Linked DNA regions of Cricetulus griseus. The protein of the gene in region 1 interacts with the protein of each later gene in a biochemical or structural test. Links are inferred from orthologs where the notes say so. Each region holds a gene or a part of one and is shown in the gene's direction. Other genes may lie near its edges. The genes, in order: ubiquitin-conjugating enzyme E2 D3, Prpf19, E3 ubiquitin-protein ligase TRIM69, Ube3c, Nhlrc1, Mylip and Hectd1.

Evidence for each region.
Region 2: the proteins of ubiquitin-conjugating enzyme E2 D3 (region 1) and Prpf19 form a complex in vitro, tested with the Homo sapiens proteins (2 studies listed by BioGRID). The link is inferred for Cricetulus griseus from reciprocal best matches to the Homo sapiens genes UBE2D3 and PRPF19.
Region 3: the proteins of ubiquitin-conjugating enzyme E2 D3 (region 1) and E3 ubiquitin-protein ligase TRIM69 form a complex in vitro, tested with the Homo sapiens proteins (2 studies listed by BioGRID). The link is inferred for Cricetulus griseus from reciprocal best matches to the Homo sapiens genes UBE2D3 and TRIM69.
Region 4: the proteins of ubiquitin-conjugating enzyme E2 D3 (region 1) and Ube3c form a complex in vitro, tested with the Homo sapiens proteins (2 studies listed by BioGRID). The link is inferred for Cricetulus griseus from reciprocal best matches to the Homo sapiens genes UBE2D3 and UBE3C.
Region 5: the proteins of ubiquitin-conjugating enzyme E2 D3 (region 1) and Nhlrc1 form a complex in vitro, tested with the Homo sapiens proteins (2 studies listed by BioGRID). The link is inferred for Cricetulus griseus from reciprocal best matches to the Homo sapiens genes UBE2D3 and NHLRC1.
Region 6: the proteins of ubiquitin-conjugating enzyme E2 D3 (region 1) and Mylip form a complex in vitro, tested with the Homo sapiens proteins (2 studies listed by BioGRID). The link is inferred for Cricetulus griseus from reciprocal best matches to the Homo sapiens genes UBE2D3 and MYLIP.
Region 7: the proteins of ubiquitin-conjugating enzyme E2 D3 (region 1) and Hectd1 form a complex in vitro, tested with the Homo sapiens proteins (2 studies listed by BioGRID). The link is inferred for Cricetulus griseus from reciprocal best matches to the Homo sapiens genes UBE2D3 and HECTD1.

What each region holds. Positions count from the first base shown.
Region 1 is NW_023276806.1:24,045,351-24,049,468, reverse strand, and holds the start of ubiquitin-conjugating enzyme E2 D3, read left to right. Parts: upstream 1-1,318; 5' UTR 1,319-1,442; intron 1,443-1,525; exon of another isoform or gene 1,526-1,654; intron 1,655-1,884; exon of another isoform or gene 1,885-2,023; intron 2,024-2,895; 5' UTR 2,896-3,045; coding exon 3,046-3,069; intron 3,070-4,118. UniProt on the Homo sapiens protein: Accepts ubiquitin from the E1 complex and catalyzes its covalent attachment to other proteins. In vitro catalyzes 'Lys-11'-, as well as 'Lys-48'-linked polyubiquitination.
Region 2 is NC_048596.1:49,553,014-49,556,513, reverse strand, and holds part of Prpf19 (pre-mRNA-processing factor 19), read left to right. Parts: intron 1-626; coding exon 627-825; intron 826-908; coding exon 909-982; intron 983-1,073; coding exon 1,074-1,136; intron 1,137-2,065; coding exon 2,066-2,107; intron 2,108-2,207; coding exon 2,208-2,282; intron 2,283-2,561; coding exon 2,562-2,637; intron 2,638-2,803; coding exon 2,804-2,913; intron 2,914-3,500. UniProt on the Homo sapiens protein: Ubiquitin-protein ligase which is a core component of several complexes mainly involved pre-mRNA splicing and DNA repair. Required for pre-mRNA splicing as component of the spliceosome.
Region 3 is NC_048599.1:56,257,241-56,261,217, reverse strand, and holds the start of E3 ubiquitin-protein ligase TRIM69, read left to right. Parts: upstream 1-1,177; 5' UTR 1,178-1,538; coding exon 1,539-1,754; intron 1,755-2,589; coding exon 2,590-2,612; intron 2,613-2,696; coding exon 2,697-2,821; intron 2,822-3,977.
Region 4 is NC_048601.1:93,184,146-93,187,645, reverse strand, and holds part of Ube3c (ubiquitin-protein ligase E3C), read left to right. Parts: intron 1-2,333; coding exon 2,334-2,491; intron 2,492-3,500. UniProt on the Homo sapiens protein: E3 ubiquitin-protein ligase that specifically catalyzes 'Lys-29'- and 'Lys-48'-linked polyubiquitin chains.
Region 5 is NC_048596.1:266,724,138-266,728,128, reverse strand, and holds Nhlrc1 (E3 ubiquitin-protein ligase NHLRC1), read left to right. Parts: upstream 1-1,222; coding exon 1,223-2,410; 3' UTR 2,411-3,491; downstream 3,492-3,991. UniProt on the Homo sapiens protein: E3 ubiquitin-protein ligase. Together with the phosphatase EPM2A/laforin, appears to be involved in the clearance of toxic polyglucosan and protein aggregates via multiple pathways.
Region 6 is NC_048596.1:265,123,190-265,126,689, forward strand, and holds part of Mylip (E3 ubiquitin-protein ligase MYLIP), read left to right. Parts: intron 1-1,177; coding exon 1,178-1,375; intron 1,376-1,844; coding exon 1,845-2,009; intron 2,010-2,906; coding exon 2,907-3,327; intron 3,328-3,500. UniProt on the Homo sapiens protein: E3 ubiquitin-protein ligase that mediates ubiquitination and subsequent proteasomal degradation of myosin regulatory light chain (MRLC), LDLR, VLDLR and LRP8. Activity depends on E2 enzymes of the UBE2D family.
Region 7 is NC_048598.1:150,519,516-150,523,015, forward strand, and holds part of Hectd1 (E3 ubiquitin-protein ligase HECTD1), read left to right. Parts: intron 1-27; coding exon 28-194; intron 195-285; coding exon 286-462; intron 463-3,500. UniProt on the Homo sapiens protein: E3 ubiquitin-protein ligase which accepts ubiquitin from an E2 ubiquitin-conjugating enzyme in the form of a thioester and then directly transfers the ubiquitin to targeted substrates.

The sequences.
Region 1 (4,118 bases):
AGGGTGAGCCTGAAGAGAGAACAATGGGTTGTTTTCAGGGAGGAGGAAGTGTCAGAGGTGGCCAGGAGAGCATCATGTGCTCAGGGTTTTACTAAGTCAGAAATGCTCAAATTATTCCTATCACTTGGGAGCTTGTTGTAAATGTATAATCTCGGGCTCCTAGTCAGGCCTAATAAATCAAAATCAGCATTTTAAACTAAACTACAGGTGATTCCTATGGACACCAGTTGAAGCAGCTGTATCCCACCGATTGCTCTAGTGACATTTTTAATGTATAAGCAGCTATATGTGTATATATATATACACACACATATTACACACCCTCATTCTTAGAATATATATTAGATCCTTCATCAATTTTTATCATTTAATTAGGGACTACTGTCTGGAACAAGTTTTCAAAATTCAAGCTATTTCCATGTAGTCCTGCAGAATTTCACTTCAAGTGGGGTTATTCATGGGTGCCAGAAAACCCTAAAGCAGGTCCATCCTTTCTGCCTTTAAACGCCTTTTGAAAACTAAAGGCTTAGTTCTTTTTTTTTAACCAAAGAATACACTAGATGACAAACGGCCCTCTACACCTTAACCACGGCGGCCCAAAATCAGGGCAGTGGTACACTTGAGAGATCTCACCCCTGAATGTAATCCAGACTGATTCCCTAATGTTTTACCACTTTGGGGCTCAAAAACTGCAGCAGCACCGGGAGAAAGAAGATCCTCAGGCATTCCTTCCTCTGGCTGTTCCCCACCTGACTGCCTGACGTCGGGACTCTAAGCAGCCCGATCACAATTAAGCCGCATTGTTAAGGCTACGCTAACGCTCGCCCCTCGGGCCGCGCGCGGCTCACGCGGGGCCCACGTGGCGGTGCGAGCAGCCCTCAGCCTGGATCTGTTGTAAATTACCGTTCCCAACCTGAGGGGAGCCTCCTCCCGCCGCTTAGCCCTCTGCGAGGAGCCCGGGAAGAGAGATCTCCATCACCTGGGCCCCCGGAAGCCCGGAGCCCGCTCCACCTTCGCTAAGGCACCGAGTCACCCCGCGGCCCCGCCCACAGCCCGTCCCCCATTGGACGCCCGCGAGGGGGCGGGGCCAGCGCGCGCCGGCCGCACGCACGCACGCCCGCCCGCCCGCCCCTCGCTCGCGCCCGCCCGCCCTCGCCCGCCCGCCCTCGCGCCCGGCCGGCCTGGGGAATTCCATTTCCTCTCCCGCCCACCAGCAGAAGCACTCAGGGGCGGTGCTTTCGGCCCAAGGCCCGCCCAGTGAGAACCTGGGGGGGAGGGGGGCGTGGAGAGTGCTACCGGCGCCTCTCGCGATAAGTTGCGGATTTGGGGGCGGGCCCCAGCCAGGAAGAGAGCACAAAACTGCCCTTAAGTCATTGCAGAGCCGGAGCTCCGCTGAGCCGGCCACGAGGTTCTCGCGAGATCCGCCGCCTCCGCCATACCAAGTGAGGAAACCAGGGGGCCGCGGTAGGGAGGGGCGCGGGGGCCTCGACCGCGCAGCTGCCGCTCCCATCCCCTTCCTCCCGAGGTCTCCTTCCGGTTCTCGATGCTTCTCTGAGTCTCAGGGTTTCCGCCGCTCGCCTACCCTCCCCTCGGCCCATGACCCGCCTCCGTCCCCCGCCCTCCCGGCCCGACCTCCGAGCAGTGGAGTGAGAAGGTGCTGTGCGGTCCGGCCGGGAGGCGGCAAGCGGGTGGCTGGCGCGTCGGCTCGGGCCCGGAGGCAGGGAGGCAAACCGCTGCCCTCAACCCTCGCTCGCCTCGGCTCGGCTCGGCTCGCCCCGCGCGCGGCCCGCGGCTCGCGCTCGCGACGGCGGCAGCGGCGGCGGCGTTGGCGGACGGATACGCGGCGGTGAATAGGCGGGGGGAGGGGCGGAGCGTGGCAGCTGGCAGTAGTTCCGTCAGAGCGAGCGGACATCTTGTGGCTGTGCCGTGCGCGTGAGCCCCGTAGGGCCGGGGAGGCACCAGCTGCCGCGCGGGGAGGAGGCCGAGGCCGAGGCCGCAGCTCGAGGGAGGCCCCGGCCCCTCTGTACGCGTGGGTGGGGACGGCTCGCTCGGCCCGAGGGAGGGCGAGCGGCCGGGGGCCGGCGCGGCGCGGAGCGGCGCCCGGGGCTGTGGGCGGCCGAGTGGGCAGCCCGCGGGCTGGGGTGGGGTAAAGGGGGGAGGCCGGCGCGGCCGGGGCGGGCGGGCGGGGGGGCGAGAGGGAGGACGGGAGGACGGGCGCGGGGGGGAGACAGGGGCGCGTCCTCCCTCGCGCCGGAGCCGGAGCCTGGCGGCCGCCGCCGGCGGCGCGTGGTGGTGAAGGAGGAGGCTGGGCGCGCGCACGTAGGAGCGCGCTGTGAGGCGGAGAGGAGGGAGGCAGTGTCAGGGGCGACACGGAGCAGCCCGAGCCGTGGGCACGGCCGCACACGCGAGCCCGCCGCCCGCACGCCCGTCCGTCCGTCCGCCCGCCCGCCGACCTTTGGAGCGGAAACGGAGAGCAGCCCGGCGCCGCTCCGGAGCCTCCCGCTCCCCTCCCCCTTGCCTTTCTTTGCCCCGGTGACGCCGGCCCAGCGCCGGCCGGTCCGGCCAGCCTGCCTGCCTGCCTGCCTGCCGACTAGGCCCCGGCTCCTCCTCTGCCCGGCCCCGGCCCCGCACCCACCCCCTTCTCCTCCGCCTCTTCCTCTCCCACCCGGGGCCCTTCCTTCCGAGAGGCCGGGAAGTTAAACTCGTAACCTCTTCCCGTCACCCTCGCCCTCTGCGGGGCGAGCCGCCGCCGCGGGGAGAAGCAGTGGTTGGTGGCTTCGCTACCCCACCCCGCCCTGCCCGGATCGCGGCGGTTTGCAGGGATCTCGGAGTCGGCAGGGTTTTCTCCGCGGCCTCTGGCGAGTGGCTGATCTGCTCCGTTTTTGCAAAAAAAAGGCGCCTGTGTCTGGCAGAGCCGCTGGGAGGAGGAGGAGGAGGAGAAGGAGAAGAGACGATCCATCCTCGCCGCTGGGATAATCAAGAGTTTTCGGCCGGGCCTTTGAGTACACATCGGGATAGTGAGGAGCCCGGCGAAAAGCACAGACTATGGCGCTGAAACGGATTAATAAGGTAAGTTGTTGGGACTGACTAATCCGGACGGGGGGCCCTGGGAAGCCAGGCAGGCAGGCAGGCAGGCAGGCAGGCTCGGGCCCAGGGGGAAGTGTGGAAGTGGGGTGCGAGTGTAGTTTATGAGATGAGTTTCTTTAAGTTGGGGGAACTGAATGCTTTTGGCAAGCGAAATGTTAGACCGAATTTCTCACAAGAATTTGTAAATTAATGGGTGAGAGCGTGGCTTTCAGGCACCTCGGTTTTGTGCCTCACGAAGAGTTAGTCCGGTTTGGAAAGTGGAATTGTGTAGAAGCCCTCGGGCAGATGGCATAGTACTGCTTTCCTATTCCTGGTTCTTCAAAACTTATTTTAGGTGTACTATGCTTATAGGCCTTCTAGGAAGAAAAGGAAACATGAAAAAGAAAACATTTTATTCCGAACTTTACTGAGGGTCAAGGTATTATAAACAAACCTCGATTTGCTAAAAGGTAGTGACGAAGTCTGTCCAGAAGCTTAACCCAATCTGGGCAGTTACACAAGACCAAGTGGGGTTGGGAGGAGGTGGACTGACACTGTTGCCACTTCCTGTGTTGTGTGGTCGCAGCTTGCACCCGAAGCTATTTATCTGAGGCACGGGAACTGATGTAAATGCCTTTAGGAAGATCCGTCCGGGGTGGGGGGGTGCTTGACAGTGCAGGAACACAGGATGGACCCACTGCTTTTGCTTAGGACACCCCCTCCCCCCTCCAGCCTTGTTTCAGCAATCCACTATAATTTGATAATTTACGCTGTCGGTTTCAGTTGGGCAGAAGCTAGGATTTTTCGGAGGTCTAGTGTAAGAAGAACTACCTCCTCCGGTGGTTTAGTCTCATTTTATTGCTCTAACTTCTATCCCGCATTTTAAGATGGCGGCTGCTTTAACTGGTTCGGGTTCTTTCCGACACCATCCCTTTTTCTAATAATAGGAAATAATGTTCTCTGTTAACGTTAACTGTTTTTTTTATATGGTTGTAGGGAGTTCTAAGGGTCTCTGCCTCCAAGACTTAACCTAAATTCAAACTCTTGAGACT
Region 2 (3,500 bases), on another chromosome or scaffold:
GGATTACAAGTGCCCACCAGGCCTGACTCTTTGGGGGGATGAACACAGGGCTAATGTAAATGCTGTACCACTGAGCAGCCCCCTCATTTCTTGCCAGCCATATTTCATTTGTGAGGAGCAGGATGGCAGCACAAGAGGAGCCTGCTTGTTGGAAGTCTTGCAGACCTGGATTCCAAAGTTTTCTCCACTGTCAGCCTTTGTGACTTGGGGCACACTGCTCAGTCTCTGAGGCTTGACCTTCCTGACTATAGGACATTGATTAGTCCTGTCTGTCTGTACTCTGTAAGAAGTAGAATAAAATTGACAAATTTGCCTTGTGACGTCAGGGACTCTCTTTCATTACTGAGCACTGCACTTGCTGAGGGTAGCTAGTAAATAACCACAGCAGCATTATTTCCTTTCAGAGAAGTGATGGCATTAACATATGTGCTTTACTGCTGAAGTAAAGCAAAGCTGGGGGTTGGAAGGAGCCAGATCTTGCTTCTGTCTATGTGTCCAGGGTGTGGTGTGGAGTAGGAGCCTGAATGCCTTACAGGGCATTCAGGGTCACTCATATGTTAGCTTGGGTCTCTGAGTAGTTCAGGTTGGCTTCAGTGTAGAATAGGAGGTGGTGTCCTCTTCTCCAGGGCTGGCCGAGTTCTCCAGCTCTCCCCCAGTCCTCACAGTGGCCTACCCCCTCCCAGGATGCAGTCATGCTGCACAGCTTCACCCTTCGCCAGCAACTGCAGACAACCCGCCAGGAGCTGTCCCATGCTCTGTACCAACACGATGCTGCCTGCCGAGTCATTGCCCGTCTCACGAAGGAAGTCACTGCTGCTCGAGAAGGTGTCTCCTCTTCCCTGCTGTTCCCTACCCTTTGCTGGCTCTGCTTTGTAATGTCCCATTTCTAACATCATCTTTTCTCTCAGCTCTGGCTACTCTGAAACCACAGGCTGGTCTTATTGTACCTCAGGCCGTGCCAAGCTCACAGCCCAGTGTTGTGGTAAGTGTTCCATTCCAAGCCCCAATAGCTGTCCTTACACAGGTGCCTTTGGTATTGTGAGTTCCTCCCATTCTCCCTTTCTTTTCTCCAGGGTGCAGGAGAGCCCATGGATTTGGGTGAGCTGGTGGGAATGACCCCTGAGATTATCCAGAAGGTGAGTCATATGCTCTTTTGCTGGGAATGCCACATGTCCTCCTAACTCAGTGCCATGGGTCTTGGGGCTAGAGTAAGAATCTCACCCTGAGCAGTGGAAAGCCTGCCCTGCCACTCTTGAGTTTTCTGACTAGGCTGACTTTAGCCTGCCTTTCTCTGTCTCATTTTCCTTGCTTCTTTTTTTTGTTGTTGTTTGTTTTTGTTTTTTTGAGATAGGGTTTCTCTGTGGCTTTGTAGACTGTCCTGGAACTAGCTCTTGTAGACCAGGCTGGTCTCAAACTCACAGAAATCGCCTGCCTCTGCCTCCCAAGTGCTGGGATTAAAGGCGTCACCACCGCCCGGCTCCCTTGTTTCTAAATAGAGTGAGGTATGCACTTCACAGGCTTGTTGTAGGGAAGACTTAATTACTGATAAGGGCAGCTTATAGCTCTTGCTGTTTTTGTGGTCTTTGCTGATATTAAACCACTTTGTGACAGGTTTTGCTTACAAGATAGAAGTTATCTTAAGATGAGGAGTCTGTGACTGTAAGTCATAGCTGAGAAGGGGCAAGGCAGGCTTCCAGACTGCATCGCAGGGTTCTGTTGAATGTACAGTCTGCATTTGTGGGGTCCAACAGTGTCTGAGTTCTAATTTTTGTACCTTAGACCTGGTCCCAGAACACAACAGCCTAGCTCTGTCCCTACTAGTTCTACCATTTGTCACTTTAGTAACCTTGGGTGGGGGGAGGTGAGTCTTTTGATGTTCAGTTTTTTCAGTTGTACCATAAGGTCATGGATACCTCACCTTATAAGACCAGAGTGGAAATGTGTCAGCTTTAGCACATAACCTGGCAAATAGCATGTTTTTGGTGATGCTTATGATACCAGATGTACCAGCACCCAGCGTGCTTTGTCCTTGCAAAATCATTTCTCAGAAAATTGTTCTCCACAGCTTCAAGACAAGGCCACTGTTCTAACCACGGAGCGTAAGAAGGTGAGTTGACCCCTGGTGTGAGCATTTGGCTTTTTGGAGGAGGGGCTAGTTGAAACCTATATTCAATTGCTGCTCTTTGGGGTCTTTTCTGTTTTCTCAGAGAGGAAAGACTGTGCCTGAGGAGCTGGTGAAACCCGAAGAGCTCAGCAAGTACCGGCAGGTGGCATCCCATGTGGTAAGTAGCTGGAGGTGACTCTATTTCTAGGGCAAGATGGGCCAGCATGAGGAGCAGGGGCAAATGCTGCTCAGGCCTCTGACATGGTTTCTTGCCATGCAGTGAGGGAGTTGCTGCATCCAGGCAGCCAGCCAAGCTGGATGGATAAGGGATAAAATTCACTCTTGTTCCTTGCCTGAGGAGGAATACCAAAGGGTATAGGGAGTGGAGGAGCTGTGTGGCTCTCTGGTCTGCCTTGATTTGGCTGTGACTGGATTTTGTGTGGTTCTGTCTGCATAGGGGCTACACAGTGCTAGCATTCCTGGGATCCTTGCTCTGGACCTCTGTCCTTCGGACACCAACAAGATTCTCACTGGTGAGTCTGAGCCTGGCCTGATAGGTCAAGGTGGGAGATGGCAGGAGCAAGGGAAGGTGCAAGCCCCTGGTTCTCTGCATGGATTTGAGGACAGAAAGACCTTCTTTAGCACTGGGATCCTTATAGGCCTGATTCATTTTTTTGTCTTTTTTTGGATATTTTATAGGTGGGGCAGATAAAAACGTTGTTGTCTTTGATAAGAGTACTGAGCAAATCCTGGCCACTCTTAAAGGCCATACCAAGAAGGTCACCAGCGTGGTGTTTCATCCTTCTCAGGTAAGGTACTTTCACAGCCACCCTTGTCCTTTCCTAAGTCCTGTTCCAGTAGTTTTGAGTTTCAGAACCAATCACCCAATCTCTACCTTTTTGATGAACTGAACTGGGCATTGATGGGTCTCTGTGTAGAACCCCAAAGCTGTGGCCCTCAAACCAAAGGAGAAGGAAAATGCAACCAACAAAGCACATTCACATCAATTTTGCATTAGGAAAAGAAAACAAACATCCTAGAGCGTTTATAGATAAACTACAGACAGTAAAGCTCTATATAGTCCTGACTGCTAGGTGTCTGTTCCCATGACACCCTGTGTGGTTGGGTTCAAAATTAAATGTTGGCTGTTGAAAGTGGTGTGAGTTCAAATAGAAAAGAGGATAAAGGTAGCTATTAGAGGAGATTAATGGTCTCATAAGAGTTGAGTACTGTGGCTTGGTATGCAGCTGCATGGGGTGCTGAAACAGTGCCTCCCAGTTAAGTCTTTCTCTTAGACTTAAGGAACTGAGAAATAGAGGACTATTTGTGTCTTAGTGCTCTTTTGCTATGAAGAGACACCATGATCACAGCAACTCTTAATAAAAGAAAGCATTTA
Region 3 (3,977 bases), on another chromosome or scaffold:
ACTAAAGAGCAGCGTATGCAGAGATAACAAGGGCAAATGGTATAGGGAGGAAACTATATAGATGTAGTGATTTATTAGATAAGAGGAGTGATTTGTAGTATCAGGTTTGGGTTGAGGAGTCTGGAGCCCAAAAGCTGGAGAAAAGCTATCAGCATTTAGATGGAATTTAAAGCTGCAGGGGGCCAGGGAGATACTGCCTAGAAAGTATAGAATGAGCTTAGGACAGAATACTAACTAATTTTAATATTTAAAATAAATGTGGTTAGAGGTAGTGGAAGCAATTATACTGGGAAATCCTGAGAAAGGTGAAAGGGAAACTGGAAACACATTGGTTAGAAGAACAGTTAAGACTATGTTAAGAGCATGATAATGATTATCCATGGAATCTAAGTTACATAAGACAGGCCATGAAGGTAGAAGTTGATTAATAGAAACAGAGGGGGTCAATGATTACAAACTCACTTTGTTGTTTTCTTGAGACAGGGTCTCTCCATGTAGCGCCACTGTCCTGGAACTCACTATGTAGACCAGGCTAGCTTCAAACTCATAGAGGTCTGCCTGCTTTTGCCCCCTGCCCCCTCCACCAAGAGCTGGGATTAGAGCCATGCACCACCACGCCCAGGTTGAATACAAACTTTCATTGAGATTCAACAGTGCTACAGTAAGGAGCAAGTGAACTTGGAGCAAAACAGTTATTTTGAAGATGATACATTCTCTGGGAATGATATAATTCTATGTGTGATTGGGAATAATTGGAGAAAGCTGTAAGCCATTATAAATGAAGACAATAAGGAACTGATAAGCCAGGATATATAGAGTTCACCAGGGAGGAAACTGTAGACACACACACACACACACACACACACACACACACACACCTCACATGTACAAGCTGCAAGTATCACAATTATCAATTTAGCACTTTACACATTGTTCATATCCTGTTTCTTTTATGTTGTACTGGCAGCAAGAGCAGCTCTGGTTTTGAAAGTACAGTTCCTCCAGGCTCCTTATGGCCCTAGTTTAACAACATCACTTGGTAGATGCTGTTTTGCCAATCTAGGAAGGTTATTGTTAGTATTAATTTTAGAATGTTTAGTCAGGTGCCTTTAATCCCAGCATTCCAGAGGCACAGGCAGGCAGATCTCTGAGTTCAAGGCCTGCCTGATATACAGAGTGAGTTTCAGGACAGCTAAGGCTACACAAAGAAACCCTGTCTCAAAAAAATAAAAACCAAATAATAATAATAAAATTGTTTTAGAATGTTGGATCGACTCTGAAACATTATTTAATAGAGCACTGTTTATTATCCAAGCACTGAGAAAAAACTGAAAACAAAACCTTTCCTTTTACACCATTAAACTAGCCAGGAAAGAAGGAATAAGCTCTGTTTAGTAGGATTGAATGTTGATGCTAAGCAGCCATTTGTTTGGAAATTTCCAAGGTGTGTTGTGGGATGCGAGCCCCTGTTTCTAAGTGCTAGTCTCAGTAGTAATTGTGGTGATGATTATGGAGGTTTCCAGGACAACAAGATACAAATGCAACAATACCTTTCCTTGGAGTTTCTAAAGCTGCATCAGTTCCTGCACAACAAAGAAAAGGACATTCTAAATGAACTCCGGGATGAGGGGAAAGTCTTGAATGAGGAGATGGAGCTGAATCTGAATCAGCTTCAGGAACAGTGTCTTCTTGCCAAAGACATGCTGATGAACATTCAGGCACGGATGGAACAGAATTCCTTCAACTTCCTCAAAGTGAGATTCCACACCGATTTGATTATGGGTACACGTGAAGGAGGGAAGAGGGCCTGGACTTGTAGAGGGAAAGGAAGCAAACCCTAACCAAGTTCAACCCCACCCAATCCACCCCACCCCACCCCACCCCACCCCACCACAACCCAACCCACTGCAGTGCTTTAAGATCCTCTGTGAGAAGCTGCTTTTGTTCTATGTTCAGTAGAAAACTGTGTTTCATCTTCCTATGAAACACGATTAGTACAATTTCATCAATAATGTTATATGAATCAATATTTTTATTTTCCCATAAAGAACCTTGTAGCTGGAGTTACAGTTAGTTTTCAAAAAGTATGTATCTGATAGCCGTTGTTGAGTTTGGGGCTTACAGAAATCATAAAGAGAACTATTTAAAAATCTTTCTGTCAAACTTTGCTACCTGAAGTCTCACCTCTAAAACAACACTGGTGATCACTTTAGTACTCACAAGTTTGGTCACCCTTGGCACTGGAACTGCTTCTAATCTTTTCTTGTGGGAGTATTTAGAAGTGCTCACTTAAAAAAGAAAAGTTGACCTTGACTATCGATTTACTGGCTCCTCTCCTATATCTTAAAGAGCTGGAATCATAGAAATCAGTAGGTTAGCAAATGAGAGGACAGCTATCATGGGTTAGATTGGGTGCTCATTAGAGAAAGCCTGTGGAGGATGAAAATTGTTGTTGGAGATGGACTGAGGATCACATGCACAGAAAGCCAGGATTGATGAGTAAACCTGGATGGTGATCAGAATAACCAGACAGATCTCTAGAGATGATAAACAGACACCTGACAGCTCTATTTCTCCTTTTCTCTTTAGGACATCACAACGCTCTTAGATAGGTAAGTGCTTTTCCATGGTACTCTATCCCCTTCCTTCTGCCCCTGGAGGATGTCTAAAAAATAAACTATTTGTGTCCCTTACAGCATGGAGAAAGGAATGAGGGCACTCTCACCCAGACAGCTTATCTCCAAAAAGCTGAGCCCAGGCCGCTTCAAAGGTCCCATCCAGTATATGATCTGGAAGGAAATGCAGTCCATTCTCTGTCCAGGTATAGTGGGAAGTAGCTACTCATTCCTATGGCCCCTAATCTACATTTCATCTGTGGGGCCTCTGCTGTGTCCCGTTAGTTCTTTAGCTTAAGACTGGATGAAAATGGACTTGGGTGGAGTTTTAAGATTTATTTCTGTATTTTATGTACATGAGTGCTCTGTCTGCATGTACTCCTGCATGGCAGAGAGGGCATCAAATCTCATTGTAGATGGTTGTGAGCTACCACGTGGTTGCTGGGAATTGAACTCAGGACATCTGGAAGAGCAGCCAGTGTTCTTAACTGCTGAGCCATCTCTCTAGCCCTTTGGTGGAGTTAGTCAAAAAGACTTTTTCTTTTTCTCCAGCTGCTATGATCTAAGAATATGTGTCTTTGAACTAACAATGCATGATAATCTAGTATTAGAATCACTCTTCAGCCCATGCTTTTGTTTGCTCTAGCATGTGTAGAAATGGCCACAATATTATCCTGTTTTGCTGCATCAGTTGTATGATTCTCTGGAGTGTCTCTGCTCTGAAGGCATTTTCCATACATACTCCTTGTATATATTTAGTCTTTATAGGTCTTTTAGTGCTTGACAGTCATAGCATAGAGCACAATATCCTGAGAGTGTTAGAGATCAACAGTGCTTCGACAAAGACCAATTCTTCAGAAGAAAAGCTTATCTAATTTCAGTCGATAGTCTAATAAGCATGTTTTTGTGTTCTTATAAATATCAAAGGACTGAACAGGACAAAATAACACAAGTGGTATTTAAAGAAAAAGAAATAATATTCTAGATAAGATGTGTATAGAAATAAAAGTTTAGATAGCTTTCTCAAAATTCCTATAGATGTTATTATTGTTTGTTATTGATTTTAACTAGGTTTAGTTAAAATCATAAATATATCCCAGTCACATTTTCAGGTGACTAACACTGAAAGAAAACAACTTCAATGAAGTATAATTATATATACCCAGTGTATAAACAGATTAGTTTTAATAAACAGGTAAATATCTCTGTGAGCAAGATACAGATAGATGGGGGCCAGGGAGATGGTTTAGTGGATAAAGTGCTTGCTGAACAAACACAAGGACCTGAGTTTGAATCCCTTGCACCTATGTAAAAAGTGAGGCATGGTGGCACACAACTGTAACCCGGCACTGGGGATGGAGT
Region 4 (3,500 bases), on another chromosome or scaffold:
GTGGTGTGTGCTTTTAGAATGTGTTGGAAAAGACTGGAGAGTAGTGATAGCTGAGTCTGACAGGTGTGGGCTATAGGATAGCCAGAACAAGCAGTAGAAAGCCTGGGACTCTGATGAAGGTGGCTTCAAAACACATGTGAAGCCACTTGAAGTGAAAAGTTTAGAGAGAGAGAGTGTGAGACCATCCACCTGGATAAGATTCGATGGATTGTGTGAAAAGTAATAAAAGACTGGCTCTTTGAGGGCTGCTGAAAAGAGCAGAAGGAACCAGCTGATTAAAACTGAGTGAGTACTTTCTCATCTGAGTCTCAATGAGTTTAAAGCCAGATTCTCAGATGAGTATGGGTCAGGTCTTAGTGTTTCAGTGTCAGGTTGGTTGGGTGTTGTAGCTGAGAAAATCTACTTCCTCTTCCTTAATGAAATCTTTGTACAGCCTTCTTAGTGCTTGGTGGGAGCCATGGCTTTGCTCTTAGGCCTCTGCCAAGTAAAGCAGCAGCCTGTAGGAGCTGGGCAGGATGCTCAGAAGCCTGTTTGGAGCTATCTCAGTTATTCATTTTCCTGCAGCAGAGGAATGTGGAGTGGCAGAAGCATCCACAGAGAGAAAGATGAGGAACAGAGTGAGGGTAGTCATTGGGGAAAAAATCATGCCTGGTCGTTTGAGGAGTTAGCCTTGAAGGGAGAATTGCCGAATGAAGAAAAAGAATGTGATATAGCTTCAGGATCATGACATGTGGCCTTGGAAAGGTGAAAAGGCAGTTTATACATACTGTTAAGAGGTGAACATTGAGAAAATAGACAACAGATATGAGCCCATCTTTGAAAACAAAACCTCCCTCTGAATTGGATCAGCATATACTTGAAAATGCTATCAGTATTAGTTAGAGAAATAGAAATCCATGTTGTGATACATACTTACAGACTCAGAGTTGCTGAATTCTAATTCTTCCTACCAAGTGCTAGGATGTGGTGCAGTTGGACTCCCTCTCTCAGTGTCTGTGGGAACCTGGTGGCTTCATGTGCAACTTGGACCCATTTGTGATCCAGTAGTTCTGTATGTAGAAGATACCCAAAAGAGATGAGGCATAATACACACTGGAGCTTAAGAAAACACTCCTACCAGCCTCGCTTTGAGACACAATTTTCCCAACCCCAGATGTAATATTTTTACATGGGAGACTATAGTTCAGTGTGTTAAGGATTGAGGTTTGCAGGTGTATTATGTGATGAGTGTCAGAAAGACAATCAACAGGACCAATACTCTGAGCACACTGTATAACTTAGCTTCTTCTGCATAAAAACCCCAAGAAGTACAGTCTTATTCACAGCTGCAGAGACAAGTGGTAGAGTGGGACATGGAAGGAGGATTGACTGGAGACTAAGAACAGCTCCCCTTTCAAGGTTGTGCATCCCAAGTATGAGACATAGAACAGTGTATAATTGTGCTTCTACCAAGTCAGTTTTAAGGGAAGACTTGGAGGAGCTGGAGAGATGGCTCAGTGGTTGAGTGCTCACTGCTTTTGCAGAGGACTGGCATTCAGTTCCTAACACAAAACCACCTGTTACTACAGTTCCAAGGAATCTGACATCCCTCCTTGGGGATAGGATACGGGGTGGTGGGGGCAGGGGAGGAGGGGAGGGAGAGGGAATTGGGATTGGCATGTAAACCAAGCTTGTTTCTAATTTAAATTTAAAATTTTTTAGGGGCATAGAGCCCATTTTTATTTTTTAAACTCTGTTTGTTTATTTATTTGGGCTTGTTGAGACTGGGTTTCCCTCCATATAGCCTCAACTGGCCTGGAATTCAAAGAACTCTGCCTGCCTCTGCTTTCTGAGAGCTAAGGCTTGTGCCACTACACCTGGCTGGAGGCTGTTTTAAAATCAGACTGTGGTAGATAAGACTCCTTTTGCCTCCTAGTAAGAGGGGAGGCTTCAGTCAAGATAATTCAGAACCAAAGAGATCATGCTGTGGTCTGTACACACTTGATGTGACTGTTTTGCAGAGCCACTTTTCCCAGAAAGCCTTACCCAGTTGAAAAATGCAACTTTTCTTGCAACAATCAGTGGATTATGGTTTTCTTTCTCTGTTTGCAATCTTTGGTTGTCCTCTGCTGTCTCTTTCTGAGAATGTATATTTTTCATGTCTATCTGCTAAAGGGTTACTGTAGACACATAATAAAAGACCCAGGAAGTCTGAACATTGTTGCTTGAGCCCTGCCTGTTTTCTGAGACCCTGGCAGTGGTGCAGTGACTCACATGCTCATCACAGGAACTGGAAGAGTCAGGGAAACTGACAGTCCTGGCTTTATAGTAAGTGTGTGAATTTGTTTTTACAGGTTGCTGCAAAACTGCAGTGATGACAGTTTAAATGTCGCACTTCCAATGCGAATGCTTGAGGTGTTTTCATCTGAGAATACATACTTACCTGTTTTACAAGATTCTAGCTATGTGGTGTCAGTGATTGAACAAATTTTGCACTACATGGTTCACAATGGTAAGTGGCTGGGGCAGACCTGTGGAGGTGGCGTTATTGTGGAGGCAATTGGCCTGTGTGCTGCTGAGGGAGGTACTACTATGAACAACACACTGTGATCTTCACAACAGAAGCTGTGTGAGCCTTCTGGGAGAATGACAGCAGCCTCTTGAGTCTTGCATTGCTCATAGCCTCTGAAAATGCAGAAGCCTTTTTACTGTCTGTACTTAATTATTCTTTGTTTTGTAAAAGACAAGTTTCTTTGGCTAATCATAAAAGGAGCTGGTTTGAGGCCCGGTGTGGTCGCTCACACCTTTAATCTCAGCACTTGGGAGGCAGAAGCAGGTGGATTTCTGTGAGTTTGAGGCCAGCCTGGTCTACAAAGAGATCCAGGACAAACCCGGGCTATTAGACCGAGAAACCCTGTCTTAAAAAACAAACAAAAACAAACAAAAAAAGGAACTGGTTTTTGGCTGTTCTTGAAAGTAGTAAGTTAACTGTTACAGAGTGTAAATAACTTGTTTTATTGACGTATAAACGTATATAGATTAATTCTAGCTGATGTACATTAAAACCACAAAAATTAAGGTCTCGTGAATTTTTACTGTTTGTAGAGCTTAGTAAATGTAAAAAACTCAAAACTTAGTTTATTAAAAATCTCAGAAAACTACTGACTTCGTGAAAATTATAGTGAAATTTATACAGTTTGACCTTCTAAGAAATAGATTCATGATGGCAGTGAACTTGAGTGAACTGATGTGATGTACTGTATATATCCAATTCAGACTAAGCATTTGATGAGAATTTTATTTTTCCTGTTTTTTAAAACCATTAGGAAGATAGTCATGAGCTGTGCCTTCTATGAAATGTTTCCAAAAATAAAAAAAATGATTGAAAATCTTCCATCAAAATTGCTGCTTCTGTTGTGTTGTGCAGTGGCATGGCTGTTTTTCAGGTGTTTTAATGAATTATTTCGTGGTGTTTTTGCTGTTGTTGTATGTATAACCTATCTTTAAGTCACTGAGTCCAG
Region 5 (3,991 bases), on another chromosome or scaffold:
ATGGAGACCAGAAGGGGACACTGGAATTCCTGGAGCTGGAGTTACAGGTGGCTGTGAACCACCCAATGTGGGTGCTGGGAACTGAACTCATGTCCTCTAGAAGAGCAGCAAGTTTTCTTTACCACAGAGCCATCTCTTCAGTCCCTTTACTTTCCATCTTACCTGAGTCTGGAAGACACTGAAGGAATCACTGGCCTAAACTTACCTATACACTCACAATCCCCTTCACAGCTCTCTGCAACCCAGCCCTCACCCGGGACCATTAGGCCTTTGGCAAGGAGACTCAACCATTTGTCATATAGAACCATATATTTGATGATCAGTGCCAGATAGTGAGAGGTCCTGTAGTCAAACTGCCTGGCTTCCAATCATTGCCAAGCCTGTTCTTCATCCAAGCCACTCCCATTGCCCACGAGGCTTGAATAAAACAATGCATGAAACCACTTCAAAGAATACAGCTATTAACTAACAGTTTTGTTGTTGTTGTTGCTTGTTTGTTTGCTTGAGACAGGTTCTCACTACAAAGCTCTGTCTGGCCTGGAACTCACTATATAGACCACCATCCGAGGCAACTAACAGCTTTTAAATATTCCTTCCAAACAAACCCATTTCACTTGTATTCTTTTGTTTGTTTTGGGTTTTTGTTTGTTTGTTTGTTTGTTTTGGGTTTTTTGGCGGGGTTATGGGAGGATTGAGACACTGTATGTAGCCTAGGCTGGCCTCTAACCACTAGTTTCTGCCTCCACAGTGCTGAGATTTCAGCTACCATACCCAGAGGCGCTGCGAGTGTTAGTTGTCTACCTTCTCACAAGTGTGATAAAACACACCAAAGAAGTTTGCACACCTGACTCACCCACTTGAAGTTATCTTCCTTCATGCATCACTCTCCTTAGTCGACCCATACTAGGGGCCTGTCTTATTCCTGCCCAGCCCTGGCAACCAGCACCCAGCGTAGCTGATTGGCAGCTCTGCTGGGTATCAGCATTGGGAGCGTAGGTTCTGGTGCTCGCCCTGCCACTTACAGGCTCACAGGGAGTGACGTGTCGTGATGATTCCAGGTCTGCGCACGGCGCATGCGAACGACTGCGGCGTGTGCCCGCCAGGGAGCAGCAGCGCTACGCGGGCCAGGCGCTGAGCCCCGCGTCAGAGCGGATGCCCCGCCCCGTGACCGTGACCGTGCCCGAGGGCTGCGCGAGGGCTGCGGCGCGGCGCTGCAGGAGCGATGGGGGAGGAAGCGGCGGGGGTGCGGCCCGAGCTGGTGCGCGAGGCGGAGGTCAGCCTGCTGGAGTGCAAGGTGTGCTTCGAGAGGTTCGGCCACCGGCAGCAGCGGCGCCCGCGCAACCTGCCCTGTGGCCACGTGGTCTGCTTGGCCTGCGTGGCCGCCCTCGCGCACCCGCGATCGCTGGCCCTCGAATGTCCCTTCTGCCGGCGGGCCTGCCGAGCCTGTGACACCAGCGACTGCCTGCCGGTGTTGCACCTTCTGGAGCTCCTGGGCTCCACTCTTCACGCGTCCCAGGCTGCCCTCAGCGCTGCCGCCTGCGCGCCCGGGGTGCTCACCTGTCAGCACGCCTTCGGCGGGTGGGGGACCCTGGTGAACCCCACGGGGCTTGCACTGTGCCCCAAGACCGGACGGGTGGTGGTCGTGCACGACGGTAAGAGGCGGGTCAAGATCTTTGACTCCGGAGGAGGAGGTGCACACCAGTTTGGAGAGAAGGGAGACGCAGCGCATGACGTGAAGTACCCACTGGATGTCGCCGTCACCAACGACTGCCACGTGGTTGTCACCGACGCTGGCGACCGCTCCCTCAAAGTGTTTGATTTCTTCGGCCAAATCAAGCTGGTTGTGGGAAAACAGTTTTCCCTGCCTTGGGGTGTGGAGATCACCCCTCAGAATCTGGCCCTGGTGACCGACGCAGAGGCAGGGACCTTGCACCTGCTGGAAGTAGATTTCCCCGAAGGGGTCCTTCGGAGGATCGAGAGGTTGCAAGCTCAGCTTTGCAATCCCCGTGGGGTGGCTGTGTCTTGGCTCACCGGGGCCATCGCGATCCTAGAACACCCCTGGCCCTTGGGGACAGCAGGTGACAACACAAGGGTGAAGGTGTTCAACTCCACCATGCAGCTGATTGGCCAGGTGGATAGCTTCGGGCTGAACCTCCTCTTTCCTTCTAAAATAACTATCTCAGCTGTAGCCTTCGATCACCAGGGAAATGTGATTGTAGCAGACACCTCTGGGCCAGCCATCATTTGCTTGGGGAAACCCGAGGAGTTTCCAGCCCTGAAGCCCATGGTCACTCATGGTCTTTCTCGTCCTGTGGCCCTGGTCTTCACCAAGGAGAATTCTCTTCTTGTGCTGGACACTGCATCCCACACTATAAAAATCTTTAAAGTGATGGAGGGTAACGGAGGGTGATGGGATCTGAGGCCTGGTGTCATCAGGAGTGAATTGCACCCTGGATGAGTCACCATCACTCATTCGCCCAGGCAGGAATAATGGTAACTGCTTGACAGAAGTGTTGGGTGTGAGGCAGTTATAAAGGACTACTCATTAGACTTGTCATTTAGTGGATGCCTAGTCCCAATGTTAAGGAATTTGCAGATCTTAGTTCATTTGCCCCTTAACACACAGCGATGTGATTTCTATTATTAGTCCCATTTTAGAGACGAGAAAGCAGATCCAGAGAATTTAATATGATATTTTTTCGAGGCATATTTACTGGGACAGTCACAATTAAACTCAATTCTGACTCCAAATCCCTTGCTCTTAAATATGATGCCAGATGTTTTTTTTTTTTAAAAAAAAGTGAGCATGTCTTAGATATGCTCTCCCTACAAGTAACTCAATAACTGGTTGTGTGCACGAAGAAAGGGGTCTCCATGGAGTTCTCAGGAGAAAAAGGATTCTGTGTGGGTGTCATCTGGGAGCCCTCCCCAATGGCAGAGTAGATGGATCGTTACCAATACCAAGAAACACAGTTGAGCTCTTTCCTTATAAGGCAAAGGTTGCTTGGTTGGTAGTGTATGCCAATAATCTCAGCACTCTGGAAGGTCTGGAGTTCGATCCTATCTACAGCTACCTAGTTTGAAGCTTGTGCTACATGACAATGTTTTTTGTTTGCTTGTTTTGTTTTGTAAATTGGTGTCAGCGTTTCCTCCTCCACAGGCACAGGGGGACATCCCTGAGTGATGGTCTGAGCAAAACCTGTAGAGCCACTGTCTGCTAGTGGCATGGACAGATGAGACTTCTGTTAGGAGATGTCGCCCCGACATATTCGTGGCAGGAATGAATTTGTTTACTGTGTGGTAATCTGTGCCGCCTAATGTGCTTTGTGATGAAAGTTTTCTCTGTGCACTTTGAAATGGGAGTCAAACACTGTCTAGTCAATAAACAGTTAGTTCCCTTGTCATTTTAGAGCTCTGTAAACATGTCTTGCACTGAAGCATAACCTTGGCCCACATAAGGGCTCCTTAATGCTGCAATTAAGGAAAGGAATAGGAGGAAATTTGGGGTGAAGTGTGGATCCTCTGTATGTTTTATTTATTTATTTCTAAGCAAGTGTAAAAGTCTTCGTTGTTCGGGGCTGTTGAAATTATAGCAAAATAACGTAAACCTCTACAGCAGCAGGGAAATGTTTTCTGGGGGATGCTCTCGGAAAGTGACAGTTTGCTGCAGATAACAACGGATGCTTTGTCAGCAAAATGGTATTCTTTTATACAAAGAGGCTGTTTGTTTTTGAGACAAGGTCTTGTATATCTTAGGTCGGCCTTGGACTTGTTCTGTAGCCAAGGATGACCTTCAACTTCTGATCCTCCTGTATCCATCTCCCAAGTGCCAGCTTACAGGCACTGAAACGCCCAGGGTTCTGTGGTGCTGGAGGTAGAGGGAACCCAGGGCTTCCTACATGCTAAGCAAGCCCTCTGCCAACTGAGTTACATCATAGCCCTCCAAAGAGTTTTAAGAGAGCTGTATCCACTGAAGACCACCTCAAAAAGT
Region 6 (3,500 bases), on another chromosome or scaffold:
CCTTTTATTTGGGAACTTACCAACACAAAATAGCCCACACAGATAAATGCCCTTATATGAAGTTCCATAAATAACAAGGATCTCGAAAGTGCCTGACCTTTTAAATGTGCAAATCTCCTACAGTAAAAGTTTAGCATGTTTATTGGTGTTTGCTTCATCCCAGCAAGAAATTACAGCAAGAAGCCTAGCTTAGCCACTCAGTTACCTAGTCCTGTGTAACAGGCTAACCCCAAACTCAGCTTAAAACAACAGACATTTTCTGAGAATGCATGGACAGGGAACCACTATGGCTTGAGGGCATACCAAGCCCCAGAGGTCAGTCTCATCTAAAAGCCCAGCTGAGGGAGGCCTCTGGGTCCAGGTGAATCTTGGAGCTTCTTGGCCAGTCTCCTTCCCTTGCCACTTGACCACAGGGCCCTTTCATGGTATGGTAGCTGGCTCACCCCATGTGAATGATTCAAGAGCAAGAGAGAAGAGTCCCGCCTTCATGACTCTCTCAGAAGTTAGTCATGCCAGGTCTTTCATGGTTTTCTGTTCATTAGCAGCCAGCCGTTAATCCAGACCATACTGAAGGGAAGGCTACATGGGGAGGCCAGATCACCAGGGAGCACAGGAGAAACAGCCTTGCCACAACATAGAATAGAGATCTGTGTTTTCTTCGGTTGCAAAGAATCTAATCAGTCAGTCCCCTGTGCTGCTAGCTTATCAGGAAGTTTGTAAAGTCTGTGTAGATAAATGTATGAGGGGATCTAGCCTACACATTTGTCTTGTGTGTATGCTGAGAGATTTTTCTATAATTCTGTCAGCTTACCAGTGGGTTCTCAGTATTTGTTGAGATCTTTTCAAGAAAATACAGTGTGTGTGTGTGTGTGTGTGTGTGTGTGTGTGTGTGTGTGTGTGTAAGAAAGCTGATGACAGTGAGTTCTTTCCTGCCATCTGTGTGTTCCAGGGATCCAATACAAGTACCTTTACCCATTGAATCATCTCACTGGCCCCATAGGTGAGCTCTCGAACAGTGTCTTAGAAATATTTTATAGTAAGTGAAATAGTAATACGCCATTTGGTGTTTTTGTGATGCATAAATGACCACATCCCTATATTTCACTAGTGAAAATTATAAGCTTTGAGGAATGCATGAGCTGATCTGCCTAAATTTGCACCTTTGAATGTTCTACAGCATTGTTGCAAAGCATAAGGAGCTGGAGGGCATCAGCCAGGCTTCGGCAGAATACCAAGTTCTGCAGATTGTGTCAGCAATGGAGAACTATGGCATAGAGTGGCATGCTGTGAGGGACAGCGAAGGGCAGAAACTGCTCATTGGGGTTGGACCCGAAGGCATCTCAATCTGTAAAGATGACTTCAGTCCTATTAACAGGTAACCCAAGTCTTTCATAACACACACACACACACACACACACACAATCATAAGCATGTATATCATCGGTTGCTTTGTTCTGAAAATAGAAAATGGACAGAAATTCACCAGACACCTCTATCAATAAAGTGATTCATTTTTTAATTTATTCATTAATTGCATTCAAGCCTTGACTAATTATTCCTTAAATGCTAACTTAACGTATACTAATGTGGCAGAATTATTATTTTTCATGCCATAAATACCTGTGTCTGCTTCTGCATACCCACACACACATCAAGGGCACTCCAACACGGTCACCATGCCACACTGCTTGTCCTCTGTCAGCGTAACTAGTTAGAATCATCATAGAACAGCATAGGCTAAGTGTCTGGTTCACTACTGATCATGGCCAGCCTACAAAGGCATATCAACATCATGCTGAACTGTCCCTTCTGAGCTGGCTCACTTTTCTCCTCCTGCCTTTCAGGATAGCTTATCCTGTGGTGCAGATGGCCACCCAGTCAGGAAAGAATGTCTACTTGACCGTGACGAAGGAGTCTGGGAACAGCATCGTGCTCCTGTTTAAAATGATCAGCACCAGGGCAGCCAGTGGGCTCTACCGGGCCATCACCGAAACGCATGCATTCTACAGGCATGTACCACCATGTGTCTCCTGAGCTTCGGTCACAGCTTAGTGTGTTTAGGTGTCTGGCAGGTTGCTGGGATTTCTCCTATCCCTGAGTCCATGAGCTTTTACAGACTATGAGGGAATAGCTACTCTGAGCCTTCCTTTTGCAGTGCTAGTGGCGCCCTTATGGGCACAGAATGGTGTATACCTGTGCCTCATTTACACTCTCCTGTTTATCGCTCATTTCCTTCCACACCCACCTCCCAGCATAACCCCAGTGGTTGGCCCTGTTCTGCTATGACTATGTCTTTTCCCAGAACAGTGGCACAGGTCTTTCTCTGCTGAGAAAGTCCCTGTCCTCAGCCCTCGCACATTACATACTCCGGATACTTTTTAAGTTTCATTTTACTTGGTGTTTTTGGAGACAAAAATCTCACTGCATGACCAAAGGTAATTTGAAATTCATTATACACCTCAGGGTGGCCTCAAACTCAACTGCAGTCCTGTAGTCTCAGCTTCCTGACTGCTAGGACTTCTGGCATGCACCACTACACCTGGCCATGACGAAGATTTTTAAACAACATTCTAGAGGGCACTTTCAGGCTGAGTTGTGAACAGGTTCACACTTAGAAAAAAATTAAAGAGAAAAATGTAGTTTGCAGGAAGCCTTTAAATTTTGTTATGTTAAAGGCCGGGCGTTGGTGGCGCACTCCTTTAATCCCAGCACTCGGGAGGCAGAGGCAGGCGGATCTCTGTGAGTTCGAGACCAGCCTGGTCTCCAGAGCAAGTGCCAGGATAGGCTCCAAAGCTAGAAGATAGAGCACTAAATGTCTATTGGCATACTGTTTTTATTAATAACGGTATCTGACAGTCTGAGTTAGGCTTTTCAATACTAAATCAGATGTTCACTCTCATCTTCAGGTGTGACACGGTCACCAGTGCCGTCATGATGCAGTACAGTCGTGACTTGAAGGGCCACTTGGCATCTCTGTTTCTCAATGAAAACATTAACCTTGGTAAGAAGTATGTCTTTGATATTAAAAGAACATCCAAGGAGGTATATGACCATGCCAGGAGGGCTCTGTACAACGCCGGTGTTGTGGACCTTGTCTCACGAAATGACCAGAGCCCTCCCAGCTCGCCCCTGAAGTCCTCTGACGGCAGCATGAGCTGCGGCAGCTGTGAGGGCCTCAGCTGCCAGCAGACCAGAGTGCTGCAGGAGAAGCTTCGCAAGCTGAAGGAAGCCATGCTGTGCATGGTGTGCTGTGAGGAGGAGATCAACTCTACCTTCTGCCCCTGTGGCCACACCGTGTGCTGTGAGAGCTGTGCTGCCCAGCTTCAGGTAAGGGGTCACAGCCCTCCCGTCTGTTAAGAAGGCTCCAACAGGTGCACGATACACAGAGTGGAAAGCAGCCTTCTGCACCTGGGAAGGGTCTTTATGTGCAGCGACTTCACCCATTGTGCCCTTTAGAAACCTGTGGGTCAGCACGCTCTTGTCACCACTTGGTTTCAGAA
Region 7 (3,500 bases), on another chromosome or scaffold:
AACACTTTCTGTCTAATATATTTATAGGTCAACTGCAACTTGGCCACTTGACCCAGCAAAGGATGAAAAGCAGGGGTGGCGACATGTGAGGATTAAACAGATGGGGAAGAATGCCAGTGGACAGACACACTACCTCTCGCTCTCTGGATTTGAACTCTATGGCACTGTAAATGGAGTATGTGAAGACCAGCTAGGTAATGAGAGGACATGAGATAGTTTTCCAAGTTTCCATAACTGTTTATTAAAAGTGACTTGGTTTCTATCTCCCTCATTCTGGTCTCGTAGGGAAAGCGGCTAAAGAAGCAGAAGCAAATCTTAGAAGGCAGAGGCGCCTTGTGCGCTCACAAGTCCTCAAGTACATGGTTCCTGGAGCTCGGGTTATCAGAGGCCTTGATTGGAAGTGGCGAGATCAGGATGGCAGCCCGCAGGGAGAAGGCACGGTCACTGGCGAGCTGCACAATGGTGAGTGGGTGCTAGCTCCGCTGGTGGTAAAGCCATGTGCTAAAAAATATGTCTTCTCTATTTGGATCATTTGTCAGTTGTGTGGCTGTATCAGACCTTTGTAGAAGAACCAATAAAGATAATGATTCCACATTAAAATGAAAACATAAAGCTGGCCATCGTGGCATACATCTTTAATCTTACGACTCGGAAGGCAGAGGCAGTGGATCTCTCCCGAGTCTGAGGACAGCCTAATAGTTCCAGGCCAACCAGAGCTTCATGGTTAAGATTCTTTGTAAAAATTAATAACTCCTTTACTTAGAGAACATCTTGGATTTTGACTAGAATCTGTTTGCTAATATTGTAGAGTGATTATTGAACTAGTACAAACTAAATATCTTCAAGATACATTTCTTCTACTGTTCTCAGGGTACCAAGATTTCCTTGGTAGTTTCAGGTAGTATTTTTTTACTTTATTAAAGACATGTAGGAGAAAAAAATTAGTGTTCAATAAAGCAAAGAATAAGGACTATAGTTTCTTGATTTCTTGAGTACAGGGGTGCTCAGTTTGCCAGCCTCTGGAGGAGTTTACACTGCCTTCTTACACTTTACACTAACTGTACAAAAAGAGTACATTCATTTTAACCTCTGTGCTGTAGATTCTGAAAAGTTCTTACCAAAATAATAAACTGCTGTTGACTCCCAAAGTAGCTTTCCTGCCAAGTTTTCTTAACATTTAAAAGGTTTTCTTAGTAGCAGATGATTTGATTAAACTTGATCCCCATTGGTTATACTGAGCATTAAAAAATGTAAAATGTTTATATTCTTGTTTCCAAATATTTAAAGAGCTAGAATAAAAATGAAGGGGTTGGGAATTTGGTTCAGTTGGTAGAGTGCTTGCCTGGTGTGCATGAAGCCCTGGGTTTGGTCCCTAGCCCCACATATCCAGGCCTGGTTGTGTTCTGGGTTAGAGACCATTTCTCTGAAAATAAAAATTCAGAAGATAGACCTTAAGAGAATAGTTAACATTTGATTTTATAATGTATTTTCTTTAATGTGATTAAAAACATTTACTTTAAATAACTTTAATAAATTAGTCAATTTTACTGTTTTAAGGTTTCTTTCCATTCCTTGAAAATTGCCACAATTCTAAACACATTTCTATAGCATTGAACCCTAATTGCAAACAACTAAAAACATAAACAGGTTTGCAGTGAGATAAAATGTATAATGCCAGCAATGGTTGAGATAACAAGAGAACCAATCAGATAAGAGATTTAAAACATTACCATTTTTTGGTATCTTATTCTTGTTAGTGAGTTCATATTCTCTCTTATAAAGTGAAGTGTGTTGTGTGGCTTACTAAGAGGATGGAAGCTAGTGACATGGATTCAGCTAAAATAAACACATAAGAAAATTAGAATCTTCATTTCAGAACTTAGAACTCCAGAAAGACATGGGTTTCTGATCCTTCAAGTGTTGCAATTCAGTTTTGGCTTTAAACATGGCAGAGAGAGTTTTTATATTTCGTATATAATTCCTGCAATAGGTAATTTTTTTAAAACTAATCCTGTCTTTTTAATCTGTGTTTGAACATAGGAATAGTTGTTACATTTAGGTATAGTATATGTTCATCTTTTGGAAGCTTTCTCAAGCCTAATATACCATTTGGTATATTAGGTATAAACTAGGTATATACCTAATAAACCATTTGGTTTATACTTTTTAGTATATTCCCTCATTAAGCCAGTTATAGCCATTGCTTTTCTGAAGAGTTTCTATGTTGGTAGAACTATCCACTTACTCACTTATTCCACAGAATTCTAAAGGTACTTAGTTAAACTTCATCAGTGGTCAAGGCAAAATATGATTCACTGCCTTCTGGGCAAAACATGTTAATATTATATAATGTTATTTTTATTTATAATTTGGGCATTTCAGTATATATTGGTATCAGTATAAAACAAATATCAACTTTATTTCATATTGGGATGATATTTTGAACCTTTCCTTAGGCAGAAGAGGTAGTTATTTTGGCATACAAATGTAGATTGGAATGAATCTTAAGCTTGTGTAGAGGTGGTTCAGTGCTTCTCTGAGCCTCATCAGAATGTGAAATTAGTGTAGCTGGTTGTGTGGTGTGTGTGTCAGTGCTCAGGTGTGCTGGACCTTACACTGTACAAGTTCATGTATTCCACATGTTAATGTGTGTTCCCCATGTAGTTCGCTCCTAGGAAAGTAAGACTGAAATCTCTTATTAGCTTTCTCCCGAATCAGTCATTTTTTTGGTTTGGAATTTTATATAAATATTTTTTTAAAAATTTAAAATAAAAAACTAGTAATTTTCAAATAGAAGTAAATATAGATTAAAAATATTTAAGATTGTTACTAGCGTTAGTTTGCAAATTTTAAAAGAGCTCAACCTGATTTTAAATTGGTTCTAAGATGTGTTTGTGCTTATTCAAATCCAGTAAACTTAACCATAAGAAAATTAAGTAGCCTCTAAACTTTGAGAACACAATTGAAATGTCAACTTAGTATTTTGAGTGAGTAACCTAAACTTTCTGAGTGACACAGGAATGTTTTAACTGTCAGTTTTAGTCATATTTAACAGTTCAAAAATTTTTACTTGTTGAAATCTCAGTATTTTTCTTTTACGTTTAACGAAATTGTTCCTGCAGTTGGATGTAGCCTAGTGGTAGATGCCTGAATGTGCTAGGCCTTGGATTCCACCCTCAGCACCATTAACAACAAAAAAATGTTTCCCCACTGTAACAGAATAGATGTAGAAAATACTTGCACACCTTCAAGGCTAGCCTGGTCTACAGTGTGAGTTCCAGGACAGCCAGGGCAGAGTGAGTTCCAGGATAGCCAGGGGCTACACAGAGGAAACCCTATCTCAAAAAAGAAAAACAAAAAAAGACTATCAGCAGTCTTGGGTTGTCCAGAGATAAATGGATTATGAGAAAGAACTTTAGAGGTATCCCAGAACCCTTTTATGTAGTGCATACTTTTTCCTTAGTATTATTTTGTAAGGATTAAGTAGTATAGACCTTCAG